Linked DNA regions of Alligator mississippiensis. The protein of the gene in region 2 binds, or shares a complex with, the protein of the main gene of each other region. Links are inferred from orthologs where the notes say so. Each region holds a gene or a part of one and is shown on either strand. Other genes may lie near its edges.

Evidence for each region. Proteins that work in one complex are often made in the same cells at the same time.
Region 1: the proteins of PRELID1 (region 2) and TRIAP1 are in contact, whole or in part, in a crystal structure (PDB 6I3V), measured with the Homo sapiens proteins. The link is inferred for Alligator mississippiensis from reciprocal best matches to the Homo sapiens genes PRELID1 and TRIAP1. Residues at the interface, in NP_037369.1 of Homo sapiens: Trp15, Asp16, Phe19, Ala20, Trp23, Gln24, Tyr26, Pro27, Val34, Leu35, Thr36, Glu37, Asp38, Ile39, Val40, His41, Arg42, Val44, Gln48, Lys49, Leu50, Leu51, Ser52, Arg53, Leu55, Thr57, Tyr79, Leu81, Asp83, Ser84; in NP_057483.1 of Homo sapiens: Met1, Asn2, Ser3, Val4, Lys12, Tyr15, Asp16, Phe19, Asn20, Trp22, Phe23, Phe27, Leu28, Gly30, Asp31, Ser32, Phe41, Tyr44, Gln45, Val48, Gln49, Ile52, Ile57, Pro58, Ile59, Leu62, Glu63, Phe64, Met65, Gly66.

Annotation. Positions count from the first base shown.
Region 1 is NC_081833.1:20,955,039-20,962,571, reverse strand, and holds the start of TRIAP1 (TP53-regulated inhibitor of apoptosis 1), read right to left. Parts: upstream 3,057-7,533; 5' UTR 3,011-3,056; coding exon 2,864-3,010; intron 1,511-2,863; coding exon 1,427-1,510; 3' UTR 1-1,426. Other genes in the region: GATC (glutamyl-tRNA(Gln) amidotransferase subunit C, mitochondrial), read left to right, coding at 3,116-3,205, 3,947-3,997, 4,234-4,400, 5,223-5,326, 5,735-5,793. UniProt on the Homo sapiens protein: Involved in the modulation of the mitochondrial apoptotic pathway by ensuring the accumulation of cardiolipin (CL) in mitochondrial membranes.
Region 2 is NC_081832.1:79,381,219-79,387,901, reverse strand, and holds PRELID1 (PRELI domain-containing protein 1, mitochondrial), read right to left. Parts: upstream 2,054-6,683; 5' UTR 1,978-2,053; coding exon 1,886-1,977; intron 1,781-1,885; coding exon 1,555-1,780; intron 1,447-1,554; coding exon 1,333-1,446; intron 1,163-1,332; coding exon 1,084-1,162; intron 875-1,083; coding exon 738-874; 3' UTR 598-737; downstream 1-597. Other genes in the region: RAB24 (ras-related protein Rab-24), read left to right, coding at 2,286-2,402, 2,483-2,551, 2,634-2,712, 2,820-2,887, 3,138-3,237, 3,594-3,644, 3,841-3,903, 4,073-4,140. UniProt on the Homo sapiens protein: Involved in the modulation of the mitochondrial apoptotic pathway by ensuring the accumulation of cardiolipin (CL) in mitochondrial membranes.

The DNA of each region.
Region 1 (7,533 bases), on a different chromosome or scaffold from region 2:
TAGCGTTCTTGAGGGTAAAAGACTCAGCTCTTTTATTGAACTGGCTGGGAATTTTCCCTTTTGCAAACTTCAATGTCCACATGAAGGGAAAGAATGACCCCTGATTTGGGCCCCTCAAACCCCCAAATCCCTTGCCTTTTCAGTTCCTCCGACTGAACAAAAGCAAGAAAAAGCCACTTTCTTAAGGGATCTTGTAGGATATTCAGTGAGTTGAAAAAGGTAGAACTTACTCCTAATAGACCTCATGTCTGCATAAGGAAATAGCTATCAGAAAGCTGACGGGGAAAAATTCTTTCCTTATGAGAGGTCTCTAGCCACTTATATTACAATTCACAGGTTAGTTCTAAAGATTAGTGATGGTACTTGCAGAAAAAAAGATATTAAGCTTACATCTCTAGCAATCCTTTGCCCAAAGTATTTCAAAATCTAAGTCGAGTAACTCTTAAAAAAAAAAAGAGAGACTAAACTACTAAATTTGGGTGCTGGACATGCCTTAGGTAGTCCTATCTTGATGTGCTTTTTCTTCTTCTTCCTTCAGATTTTTCTTCTGGCTCCAAAGTAGCAAGAAGTCTCTACTGAAAGAAAAGCAATACAGATGCCCTTATCCAATCATAGTTTACGTGAAGCCTAATCTAGTAACTAGGGTCAGTCTGGCACTTTTATGGTATAGCATGGAAAGGTGTAAAGGATACTGACTAAGCATGCACTGCAACTTTACTCTCGAAGCTGGAATCACTTGCTAGTAGACAGCAGTAACATATTATCAGTGCTTTGAGTGAGGCTACTGAGCATAACTCCTCAAGTCGGTGTTTCTCCCCTGTGGCAGGTTGCCTTCGGCCTTTCTTGAAGGCCAAAGTCAGGTTTAACTACACCCCTGCATCCTTTAGTTAAGTATAACTTGACCTGACCAGGTTACATTCTTCATTGCATATATCCAAACACTGCAGACCCAATGGTGGTAGCATTTAAAACACTGCTATAATTAAACGGATGAGAGGCAAGGCTGTAGCCCATAATATTTAGTAAAACAAAGATCAGTCAAGATGTAGCCCACTAAAATTTGGCAGCATGCACCTCTTCATGTTCATCTTAACACTGGAAATTGTCTAATATATAAATAAGAAACAGAAACCAATCCTAACAAGCATTCCTCAGTTCAGAGTACATTTGTTTAGGAAGTTAAATGAAGGGTTTTTCACACTGCAGAACGTAATGCTCATTTCAATGCTCATTTCAAATGGAACAGTAATTGCCACACAGCTCAGCATTAAAAAACTGCACAGAAGACTCCTTGCTTTTTAAAAAACCAGACAGAAGCAGCAGCTGATTTAAAGCCACCTTCCCATCAGCTGTCCTCTAGTCTTTTGTAAGATGATTTTTTTGAGCCCAAAGATCAAGCTAATGGTTCTGTGTGGTCCAACTGAAGTCATGAGGAGTTTTCAGCTTTTCCTTTGCTGGGGCCCATGAATTCCAGCCCTTCAATGGGGATGTCCTTCTCCTTAATAGCTTTCTAGGAGGAAAAAAGAAGCAAATATTTTATACATCTTTTGCTGTGAAGACTTTCTTGGTGCCTGATGTGATTTAAGACCACTCTGCTCTAGCTCAAGTTGGTATTAAGGCTTCCAAGCTGGACCAAAGAAAGTCTGAGAGTTCCTGCTAAATCAGTACTAAACTGCAGCCTAGACCCTCACTCATCTCTCATCCACACTCCTTCCCGCTACCATCTCAGTAAAAGGGCAAATTCTACTTAGTAAGGGAAAGAAAGCAAGCTGAGGGACTCTCTGAAGAAGTCACAGTGCTGGAAGCAGAAAAAACAAAAACAGACGTGAATGAAGGATTTGTGGAGGACTAGATTTTAGATTTACAGCACCATTGGAGGAATAGAACTCTTTTGCTGAAGGAAAGAAATTAACGAAGTGGTTCTTAACCAAAAGGGAAAAGAGAATGCACATTATGAAGAATGAAAGAATGAAATGTAAGGAAACAGCAAAAGAAGGCACACAAGTGGAAACAATAAATTTTGTAAAATTAAATGTCTAAAAATCCCCAAAGGGACACTCAAAGACTCTCAGTGAACTGTGCGGTCAGCCCCTTCTACCTGCGTTGGAAATCATTAAGGAATGATGGCTCAGGTGTTTGGCCCCTTACAGGGTGTGGGTCCTGCTGATGAGCTGATACTGCAAAATGAGCAAACATGGTCTCACATATATTGAGGAGGTTCTGTAAGAGGTGGTAATGCTTCTTTAGACTAGCTTGGAAAGGTTGCTCCTTTGTGAAGTTTTAGCCTGTCAAAAAGCTTATATGACTCTAAATCCAAATCAGCTCACTATGGGCATTATATAATACAGCCCTACAGGTCATCGTGGCTTCACAGTGAGGTAGTGCTGCAAATAAAAACATCCTACTGAGGTCTGTGCCATGCCGGGCAGCTCCTCATCTGGTGTTTTGTCTCAAGGAAATGAAACACTTGAGAGTTTGTAAAGAAGGAGAAGCGATGCTGGGCTATGGCCAGGTGAGAAACAGACACAAGGGATGTTTTTGAAGAGGAAACATTTGAGAAGACAAGAGGAGCCCGTGCTGCCACCGCAGACGTTACCACGGTGTCAACGAGCGACCCGCCAGCTCTCGCACGGCATTTCTTCTCCCGGCGGCGCCCGGGCCCCGGGGTCCGTCTCCCCGCCAGCACGCCGAGCGCAGGAGCAGCAGCGGGCACAGGCTAAGAGGGTTTAATCATCTCCCCGGCTCGCGGGTGCTAGCAACAGGCCCGGGGCCCCTTCCTCTGCACCGGCCTCGCGCGACGCGACGAGGCTTCCCTACAGGGGAAGGGCGGGAGGCGGGTCTCGCACGCGGGCGCGGCGCCCACCTGCACGCAGAGCTGGTAGCGCTTGAAAAGCTGCACGCAGGGGTCCCCCGCGCTCTCGCCCTTGAGGAACTTCTCAGCGAACCAGCGGTTGAAGCACTGGTCGTACTCGCGCTTCAGCTCCGTGCAGGCCTCGCCCACGCTGTTCATGGCGGAACCTCCGCCGCCTGAGGGGCGGGCCTCGCCGTGACGTACTTCCCGCCCGGCGCGGTTGGATGACGTATTTCCACCGCGCGGCTCCTCTGCCGGGCCGGGATGTGGGCGCTGCGGGGCTGCCGCTGCCTTCGCGCCGCCTGGTCGTGGGGCGGGAGCCGCCTGGCGCGGGGAGCGACCGGCGGCCGGCAGGTGGCTGCCAGCGCCGGGGCTGGTCACGTGCTGTCGTACCCCATGGGCTGGGGGCGGGAGGTTTTGCCTGGGGGGCGCCTGGCGCCGACTTCCTTAGAAGCGAGAGCCCGGCAGGGGCAGCGCTGAGGGCGAGGGCTGAGCCCAGGCCCGGGGTTGTTGATTTCTCGGGCTCCAGCTGCACCGGGCATCCCGGGACTGGGTGCGAGCGCGCGAAGGCTGGCGGGGGCCGCGATCTCCTTGCTCCGTTTCTTGGTCCGATTCGATGCCTTCCACCTTCTCTCAGGGGAATTTCTCCCTCAATGTGGAGTCAATTAAACCTACTGTAAAAATCCCCAGCGGGTGGAGACTCGTCCTTCCCGGGGCCTGTAAGCAGCACGGAGCCATTGGGCAGGAGGCAGCAGTGATTTGCACCTTGTAGATCAGGGCTTGCCAACGTTTTTGGGCAGAGTGCCCCAAACACCCATAAACTCGACCTGAAAGATATTGGTGTGCCAGGGGCAGATAGCGGGGCCCGTGAGGCAGCGCAGCCCTGGCCCCTTCCCTGCCATCCACCCTAAGGCACATGTGCCAAGCAAAATGCTTTTGATTGCTGCACTCTGGCACCTGTGGTGGCAGGCACTGCCTACCCCTTGTTGTAGACTAACAAAAGTGTGCGTGCGCACATATATACTATCTACTTTGGTTAGTCTGTTTTCATCTACCCTGCCTTATATTTATCATGGCCTATCTCTTGCACTTTAGATTGATCAGAATCCAGAATGGCAGCTAGAGGAACAGAAACCGCTTCCTCAGGTATAATGAATCTATCAACATATGTACATTTAGTCCAGGCCAGTCTGTTTCTGCTAAATGATCACTGCAAATCTGAGACCGAGTAATAGAGGAATTCCTAATATCCTCTGGTCAAGACTCAGGATAGTTTATCTAGCTTTATGTTTATTCATTCTGCCTATCCTAACTCATCCCCATATGGTAGTCTTAATACAGGACCTAGACATGTGACTTCTTTTTTTCCCCCTTTCTCAAAGAAAAAAGTAACCATGGAGTTGCTTGATCATCTGGAACGACTGGCACTAGTTGATTTTCGCAATTGGGAGGGCGTAGAGCGGCTGGAGAAAGCAATTCAATTTGCTGATCAACTTCATGAGGTTAACACAGAAGGGATAGAGCCAATGGATTCGGTACTTGAGAACAGGTAAAAAATTATGGTTAGTGACTGTTTTAACTACTAGTTTTCCAAAGAAATGCTGCAGTAAATTTTGATAATTTTTTTGCCACTAATCATGCTAAATATGAAGTTGGCTGGTCCTCCACAAAATCCTTTATTTTAGGTCAGGTGTTTTTTTCTTTTGGGAGGGGTAGAGGAGTGTCTACAGTGTCCCTAAACTTGGAATATAAACACAAGGCTGTACACAGATTTCTTAATGTTCTTATGTAGACCATTCATGTTAGAAATATCCTGTATTACAAATGCAAAATCATTGTAAATCACTCCTGAATGTTCTTGCACCTGGTGTCTGCACCCCGAACAGTTTCAGGGACCGTTTATATAAACAATGCCTTCTCTGTATTAGTTTCTTTAGCAGCTTCAGTTCATCAAGAAACCAGATTTTCTGCATGCTTATATGAAAAAATGTGTTTCACTCAGCTCAATATAGAGTAGGGCTGATAATGTTAAGCACTAGGCCAACTGCTGTATTTATTTCTTCAGAGAACTCAGGACATGGTATTGCTCATTTCAGGAAAGCTCAGTAAGTGGCAACAACACATGTGCCTGGTCAAATGTAAAGCTTGACCTGAACAATGGGACTGGTGGAAGCGTGTTACCCAGCTGCCAGGGATCTCCCAGCAAGACCTAAATTCAAGATGCAACTAGCATATTTTAGTATGACAAGTTTTGAAGGCACTTCCTTCCGATTCTAGAGCATGACTTTGCATCCTGTATCAGACTCTCTAAAGCACAGTTGGCAAAGTAGGTCATTTGGAAAAAGAACATTAAGTTTCCTGTGCTCCCCAGGTGTCTGTATCTCAGAGGAGATAACATCACAGAAGGCAACTGCACCAAGGAGCTGCTACAAAATGCCAGCCAGACAGCAGAAGAATATTTTGAAGCTCCACCAGGTAGAGTTCTGTTACAGATGATGCTAAATGGGACTTGATACCTGCCCTGATTTTTAAGAAGTATTAACCTGTCAGTTAATTCACTTCTGTGTATACTGAATGGTGGTAAACATGTACTGAACTAGGATGATAGCCACAGTCACTTGTTAAGATAGAGAGGGATGGGACCCTAGCTCATTATTACTTAGTGGCACTGCAGAAGTTATGGCTTTATATTTACACCTAATGTTGCTTATGCAGACTCTTTACAAAAGGCAGCTTTTTGTAAACTCAAGTGCAGCTTTTTTGCAGGGGAAAACCTAGTCACTGGTAAGTGTTTAAGCCACAAGGACAAACATGCGAGTTGCAGCAATATTATTCAGGAAACTAGCAGGCTGTCTCATACTCTCATTATCTGTTTCCTATTAGGTAACATCCCTCTACCAAAGTTAGAAGAGCGTGAGAGCTTCCTGCAGGACTCCAACTGAAAAGCTTGGGCCAGAATGCCATACTGGTTCTTTCAGCAGTATGCTGTTGGGGACAATTAATCTTATGTAGCTACAGCTGATGTTACATTATCCCAAGAACAACACCCACACACGAGTACTGATTCTTTCTGCTGCTCCTCTTTACAATATTTTATTTCTATCAAAGGGTTTGTTTGGATTATTTTAAAATATACACATGAAGGTGGAAGGTGTTAAGCCACTTTCAAAATAGAAATATGGCCTCAATACTGTTTGCTTAGTCTGCATTTGGTAGGGCTGAAGTGTCAACCTGGAGAACATCAAACAAGTTCAGTACTCTAGATACATCTGCATATCACAGCCTTGATGACAAGGGAAACTAGGACTATCCAACTTTTCTGTCAAGTTATGAGAGGGGCTGGAGAAGAAGTTAGGTACTGCAGCTTTGTAAGAACCTAATTCACTTAAACTATTTTTTACTTCCTGGCTTAGCTCTGATTAGAGGTCTAATCAGGAAAAGAAACCCTCAAAGTTCAGTACAGTAGAACAGGTACTGTTGAGGGAACTTCTGCTAGATTAAAAAAGCATTTAGAGAAAACGCTATTTTTACCATATGCCTTCATCTCTCTCAGCTCTGACTAGTCTTACATTTGTATATATACTGCTTTCCATGTATAGCTTTGTGGAATGCTATGCTAATATGCCAGATTCCTACATTTACACTTAAGTAAGGCATATAGAGTTTGTTTATACATACAAGTGATTTTTTTTGATGTAAAGTTGAATGCCCTGCCCAGAAAGGCCAGTGGAAAACACTTATTGTGAGAGGCCATTTGACCATCCATATGCATTGATTAAACTGAAGTTCTGGCTGCTTTCTGATCATCGTAACCAGAGATCCTGGTTTTCTCTGATTTAAAAAAAAAATGCAAACCAAAAAACAAACCAACAACCCAATTTTCAGGTTAAAAAAGGAACCCAAAATCCACATTTTTCTGTGATCAAAATGAAACACCACTACATATATATCCATATATTACTGCCGTTTCATTTTGATCACAGTTAAATGTGGATTTTGGGTTACTACTTTAACCTGAAAGTTAGGTTGTTTGGTTTTTTTTTAAATCAGTGAGAACCTGACCATAACACTGTGATGGCCTGGTGTATAATAAAGCAGTAGAGAACTTTGTTCCAAGCAAACACAGTTGTAGTAGTGCTAGTAGTTTGTTTTCAGTGGTAAAATCACTTATAAGGGGAATGAAAGGTGCTATAAGCAGTGCATTTATTTCTCCTGCTGAAACTTTCTAGTGTGACAGAGCCTGCCTTAAATAAATGTGCTACACTTAGACATGCACAATAGCCTTTGTGATGTCAGAACACATTTTAGGAACTGAAGCAGTTCAGCAACCTTAAAAGGTGCAAATAGATGCCATTAGCAGAAAGCTAACAGATGCCTTTGCTGTTCTCAGTAATGTACCTAGTAGAAACTAGACTGGAACCTGACCAGTGTTCTATCCTCAGCAATTTGGGCAAATCACTTTCTCCACCTTGGAAGTGACAGTGATGCTGTCTTGTTTATAAATTGCTTTGAGATGCAAGGAAAGCAGTAGTTGTAGGCCTGCACTGAGTAGTGTGACAGTTAGATGCAATTCTTTTTTCTACCATTTATCTGAAACTGAAGTCAGTAGCTTTTTCTGTACTGTAGTTGAGTTATTTATAAACCAAATTAGATTATTACAAGCATAGAGAATGCTTGGTTGA
Region 2 (6,683 bases):
CCTTGCCCAGCACCCTGCTGAGCCCATGGGCCCGGGAGGAGCCCTGAAGACCCATCAGCCGCATCCCCTGGAGCAGCGTGGGCACCCCCTGCATACACCCCGCCACCCAGGCATGCGGCGGGAGGAGCCTGCCCCTGCTTTCAACCGCTGCCAGCTGCTGGGACCGAACTGCATGCTCTGACAGCCACAGGTGCACTGAGGGGAGGGAAGAAGGTGGGGGCTCTTGCTCTGGGTGGCAGGAACTGGAACCGCTTCAGAAAATGCTGCCCCGCAAGCAGGCAGGCAGCAGCGATGCCCCACACCCTGTCAGGCCGCCTCTGCTCGCACAGGGCCGAGCGCCAGCAGGGGCTGTAGGCACCTGAGCGCCTCCCTCTGCTGCCAGGACATTGCTGAATGCAACAGGAACAGGGGGGCCAAAGCCAGCATCTCCTGGAGAGCTGCACCTGCTGTCACAGCCCCAGCCCTCATCCCCGGGATTGGGACTTGGCCTCCTGCTTCCAGCAGCCTACGCCCTCCCTAGCCTGCTGGTGGTGTCTAACCCTGGCCCTGGGTGACACATGGACCTGCACTGCCAGCCAGGCCCAGCCAAAACAAGCCTCAGGGAGTCGAATGTTTAATGATAATTACATCTCAGGAAGGCGTTCTCCATCACTGATTGTCAGACTTGTACAACATTGATTAAAAAATATAAAATCTACGGAGGTCCTGTCTGGGGGGAGAAACAGGTGGAGCTGAGCTCACATGTACTGCTGCTTCTTGGTGGCTGCCTTGCTGGCCAGGTCCTTAGCTTTCTCTGTAGCTGCTAAGGCCGTCTCCTTGGCCTTCTCCGTTGCCTGCTTTGCGGTCTCCACCAGCGTTTTGGATGGAGCTTCCCCTGCAATGAGTCACTGACCTGTAATCGTCTGGGCGCCTCCGCCCCTGGAGGGCAGGGACAGCTTCCCCTCACTCAGCCCTCCCGGGGCAAACTCCCTGCCCTGACAGCGCAGGTTCCACCGCCCGGGCCGGCAGAGCTGGTGCTGCGGCAGGCAGCAATCCACACACCCAGCCGGTAACAGCCCCGCCCGCCCGCCCGCACGCACGCACCTTGGATCCTAGCCAGCGCGTACTCGAAGCCCTTGGTGCTCTTGGTCACGTTGCTCTTGAACCGGGCCAGGCCGAACTCCTGCAACAGGAGACGCTGTGAGGCTGCAGCTCAGACCCAGCGGTCCCAGCAGCGCATCAGCTTCCAAGTGCTTGCTGCCCCCGTCCCACCAGGGCTGTCTGGGCGGCACGCCGGGCTCCCGGGGGGCCACGTCCCTGCCGCGCATGGGGACCCTGGGAACGAACACTGACCTGGACGGCCCGGGAGATGCCGAAAAGGCTGGAGGAAATCCAGGCTTCCCGCTGCACCTCCGTCCAGCCGCTGTTCTCTGGGTTCACGCGGTAAACGCAGCGCTCCTCCACCACCTGCCAGGGAGAGGACGGTGTGACATGAGCCCTGCCCGCAGCTCCAGCCGCGTCCCGGGAGCCCTTCCTTGCCCAGGCAGACACCCCCGGCCCGGCCCGGCCGCCCACCATCAGGCGCGCGTGGTTGATGTTCCGGGTGAAGGTGGTCATGGTCTGGTTCTGGGGGTCCACGATGGAGTCCTCCAGGATGTACACCGAGTGCGCCACGTTGGCGGGGAAGAAGCGCTCGGCCCAGCGCGGCATCCTGTTGGTCTTGGTCAGGAGCCGCCGGGAGAGCAGCTTCTGGTCCGGCGTCACCTCGCGGTGCACGATGTCCTCGGTCAGCACGTGCTTGCTGCGGGGGCAGGGGGGGGCATCAGGGAGGGGGGCCCGACCCGACCCGGCCCAGCCCAGCGCCCCAAGGAGCGGCGCTCCCGCCCCGGCCCCGGCCCGGCCGCACCTGTAGGGGTTCGGGTAGCGTTGCCAGAAGGCGGCGAAGACTTGGTCCCAGGGCCCCTTGAGCACGCCCGTGCTGGCGCAGTGCTTGCCCATGGCGCCGCCTCAGGCCGGGCCCGCCGCTCCCGCACCCCACGTCCGCGTCCGCCCCCGCCCCGGCCGCGCAGCGCCCGCCATGCGACGACAGCGTCCCTGCGGCAACTTCCGGGGCCGCCAGTCCTCGTGACCGGAAGGGCCGAGCACCACTTCCGCTCCCGCTCGGCCTGCTTCCGCCCTGCCCCTGCCCCACTTCCGCTTCGGCGTCACGTGCTTCCGGAGTCCTGGCCCGAGCCGAGCCGGCGGGGCCATGCGGCGCGGCTGAGCGGGTCCCGCTCCCGGCCCGGCCCCGGCCCGGCGGCAGCAGCATGAGCGGCCCGCGCGTGGACGCCAAGGTGGTGCTGCTGGGCAAGGAGTACGTGGGCAAGACCAGCCTGGTGGAGCGCTACGTTCACCAGCGCTTCCTCGTGGGGCCCTACCAGAACGTGAGTGCCGGCCCGCGCCCCCGCCCCCCCGACCCCGGTGCTTCCCCTCCCCCTCCCTCTCCCTCTCCCTCCTCTTGCAGACCATCGGCGCCGCCTTCGTGGCCAAGGTCATCGCCGTGGGGGACCGGGCCGTGACGCTGGGCATCTGGGTGAGTGGGGCCGGCCGGGGGGGCGGGGGCGCGGAGCTGACCCTGGCCCCGACCCTGACCCTGACCCTGCCCCCGCCCGCAGGACACGGCGGGCTCCGAGCGCTACGAGGCCATGAGCCGCATCTACTACCGCGGGGCCCGGGCGGCCATCGTGTGCTACGGTAAGGGGGCCGGGGCGGCCGGGCCCTCCCCGCCCCCCCTGCGGGGGCTCCTCGGCCGGGCGGGCCCCGGTCCGCGGCGGGCAGCGTCCGACTCTCGGCTCCGGCAGATCTCACGGACGGCAGCAGTTTCGAGCGCGCCAAGTTCTGGGTGAACGAGCTGCAGACCTTCGAGGAGGTGAGCGGGGGCGGGGGGGACACTTCCCCTTCGGGAGCCGCCGAGGGACTTCCCGCGCGGCGAGGAGCCGTTTCCTCGGGTGCAGGTTCCTCAAGTGCCGGCCGTGCCCCGGGTACCCGCGAGGGGGTGCTAATTCCCCTCCCCCCGCGCCGCAGCCCCGGTGCGGCGCTGCGCGGCGCGGGGGCATCTGGGTGCGGCGCGGGCGCCCGGGCTCCCGCGTGTGGCTGACCCCCCTCCCTGCTCGGCCCAGAACTGCCGCATCTACCTGTGCGGCACCAAGAGCGACCTGCTGGAGGAGGACAGGCGCCGGCGGGGGGTCGACTTCCACGACGTGCAGGACTACGCAGATGGTAGGTCGTGTCTCGGTCGCAGCCCCTGCCCTGCTCCCACTGGGCCTGGATCTTCTTTCGGGCTTCGGCCCCATCTCTGCTTCACGCTGGTCAGGTGCGGCTCAGGGACCCTCCCGGTCCCGGTCCCTGTGGAAATGAAGGCCAGCACCCGCTGGGGCCCATGTCCACCCGCACAGCAGGAACGGCTCCGGGGCTGGCGGTCCCTGGGGGCGAGCCCCCAGCCGCGTGTTTGCTTAGGCTAGCGGGAGAAGGGGCCCAGAGGTTGCACCGGGCCAGCTGGGAAGGGGGTAGAGGGTGGTGGTGGTTCCTGCCCCGTGGCCCATGCTTCTCAGGCACTCACCTGTCATCTTGCTCAGAGATTAAGGCCGAGCTCTTCGAGACCTCCAGCAAGACAGGCCAGAGCGTGGGTGAGTGACCGCTTCTCCGTGGAGCCGCAGCTGGAGCCAGGCCGGGCCCTTCCCTCTAGAGCGGCCATGCAGATCAAGGGCTCAGTGCTGCCCCATCTCTCAGGTCCTGGGCACGATGCAGGCTCCTCCTCAGCCAGGACCCTGGGGCTGGTAGGGGGTGGGGGGCACGGCCGGGCCTGACTCTTTCCTGTCTCAGATGAGCTGTTTCAGAAGGTAGCAGAGGACTACGTGCGCTTCACTGCCTTCCAGCTGATGACAGGTGAGTGCGGGAGAGGCATCTCTTGCTCCTCAGCAGGCACAGGTCTGGTGTGGCAGCGTGGAGCCTTCTGCTCCCACAGTGTCTGCTTGGGAGCAGGGCTGGGGTGCAGCTCCCATCGGCTGTGGGCCACAGCTGGCGGGCCACCCCCTCACTGCTCCTTCTCTTGCAGAGGAGAAAGGAGGCATCGACCTGAGCCAGAAGAGCAGCCCCTACTTCTACAGCTGCTGCCACCACTGAGCCAGAGCAACGCCCCTGCCGCGGCACAGCCCCTGCTCCTTGCACTGGCCTGGTTTTAGCTGTGGGGCTGCAGAGACGGGGCCCCGGCACTGGACAGGGACATGGTTGGGATGCTGGAGGGGACATAGCTCTGCTCTTGCTGCAGGACCTTGTGGCCGTGGGTCCCCTGCTGCTGCCTGCTCCGCGGCTGCGTCCCCACCTAGCTCCTCCCGGCACAGGCTGCGCTGGCTGGAACTGCACCCTGGGCCCACGTGGATTGTCTCAGCTTCTGTTAACTTATAGAGATGTAAATAAAGTGCGTTGCGGTGTGTGAGATGGCAGCGCTGGGCTCACTGTGCTGGGACCAGGCCGGTGGCCTGAGGCCTCAGGGAGCAAGTGCAGGGGGCTGCGGAATGGGGCAGGCAGGGGCCTTCTGGCTCCTCTGCCCGGAGCAGGATGGGGAGAAGCCCCTGGTGCGAGCCCAGGAGAGGGCCAGACCTTGCTGTCCCAGACAGGCCGGGCTGAGAGCCCTGCAGGCAGCCTTACTCCTGCCTGTACTGCTCTTAGCAGCAGGAAGCACTGCTTCAGGCCCGCCCTGGCCCTGGCCCTGGCCCTGCACCTGCACCCACCTCCTTCAGCTCCTGCATCCTCCTGGCCTCTTTGAGCCCTTCTCCCTTGGGCACTGGAGAACTGCTCCCTGCATGCTCCTGTTCCTGGAAGGCGCTTGGCGCTCTGCCCTGCCACCACATCCGTGAGCAGCCATCTGCGACACCCTGAGGTCCTGCCAAGCTGGCAGGTGTATCCCGATGCAGGGGGAGGGGACGGCTGCTGCTGTGAGCAGCCCTGCACCCTTCCCTGGGCAACTGCACCAGGGAGAGAACCAGAGCCCTGAGGCCCCCAGCCCAGGCCACCCAGGGGCACCGTCTTCACCCCGGGGTGGGGGGGGAAGGTATACTCACCCGTCAGGCTGCTGCGGCTACCCAGGGCTGGTGGGTAGATTTCCCTCGTGGGAAACCCCTGCTTGCTGCAAGCACCCCTTACCCTTTGCTCCCACCTGCGGACAGAGGGGCCTGCATGCTACAGGGCCGTGCCCAGGGTGCACCAACCCTTTCCTCCGCCCTGGCTGGCCAAATCTCACAGCCTTCTGGGTTGTGCGCTGGGGGGAGGCAGGGACTCGGCACCTCAACCTCGCGGTGCCTGGAGTGAAAGGTCTCTGCTCGCCGTGGAGGGCTCAGGTTGGGGGAGACTCCCACCAGAGCATGCTACCTACGAGGCTGAGCCGATGGACCAGGAGCAGCCTGGGCCCGAGGGCTCCCCCCTGCGCTGCTGCTGCCAGGGGTCAGTTGCAGCCCACCGCGCCCCGGGGAGCAGGCAGCTGGGACCCCCACGGCCCAGGTCCGCGCTCGTGTTGCTGCCAGGCTGAAGCCTAACTCGCAGGCTGACCTGACGGAAGGAGACACGCCAGCCCTGGTCCCTATCCAGGCTACTCAAGTCACCCACCTGGCGAAGCTGGAGCAACCTGTCCCCAGCCTTCCCAGTGTGCACCAACATCTCTGCCAGCCGTGGTCCTGGCTGCAGCCGTGCACAGGCGCTGGGGACCGAGTGCCCGCTAACTGCGCCGGTCCCTCCTTCCCTGCACCGGGGCCCGTACCTCCCCGTCCCCCAGTCTGTGCAGGGGGTGCTGCCCCTGACCTGCTTGTGCCCCCAAGACAAACCACACGAGAGGGCATCGGGAGTAAAGTTAAACTTTACTTTACAGTAATCGTTCGTCTATGTACAGAGAATTACAGTACGTGTTCTGGGAGCACCTGGCAGGGCCACCCTCTGCCCATCACACGCAGCCCGGGGCGAGAGGAAGGCCGTGGCCCCAGATTCCCCCCTCTCGCTGCACGCGCCGGCCACGCCGCTCTCCCCAGGCCAAGCGGTGCGGGTGTCTATGTGCTGCATCCACCTCCCCGCGTGCCTCGAGGCGCTGGGTGGCTGCGCCTGGTCCCTCCTGCAGTCACCGCTCCCGTCCCCCTGCTGGCCCCCTTCCAGTGTTGCCTGCATCGGTCCCCAAGGTGCCTGTGCCGCCTGGACCAGCCCCACCCAGCTAGGCCCCGCTGTGACGCAGGTAACGCTTCACTTGCACCTGGGTGCTGTCCAGACTAAAGCTTACGGCCCTTGCTGCCTCCTGTGACCCAGAGCCGAGCCCCGGAGCAGGACCCTGGCATGGCCTTGGGCAAGGGCACCAGCCGGAGCCTGGAGCCACAGGAAGGGCCCCGGAGGCAGCAGCAGCAAACCCCAGCTCCATTTCCCTCGTCTGCAGCTGCTAGGGCTCCTCCCGGGCCCTGCTCCAGCTGCACCAGTCCAGGGGAGGGGAGGGGAGGGACGAGCCCGGGCAGGAGCGGGTGCAGGGACTGCGCCAGAGGGCCGCAGCTGTTCCCAAAGCAGGTGCGACTCCCACCCTGTTCTCGCCTTCCCGGGGGGCCGGCGCAGGACAGGCTGCCGCACCCTTCTGCCACCGGCCCCGTCTTGCCAGTGCTCAGGCCAACGGGTGCCACGGCTCCAGCCCACCCCGGCAC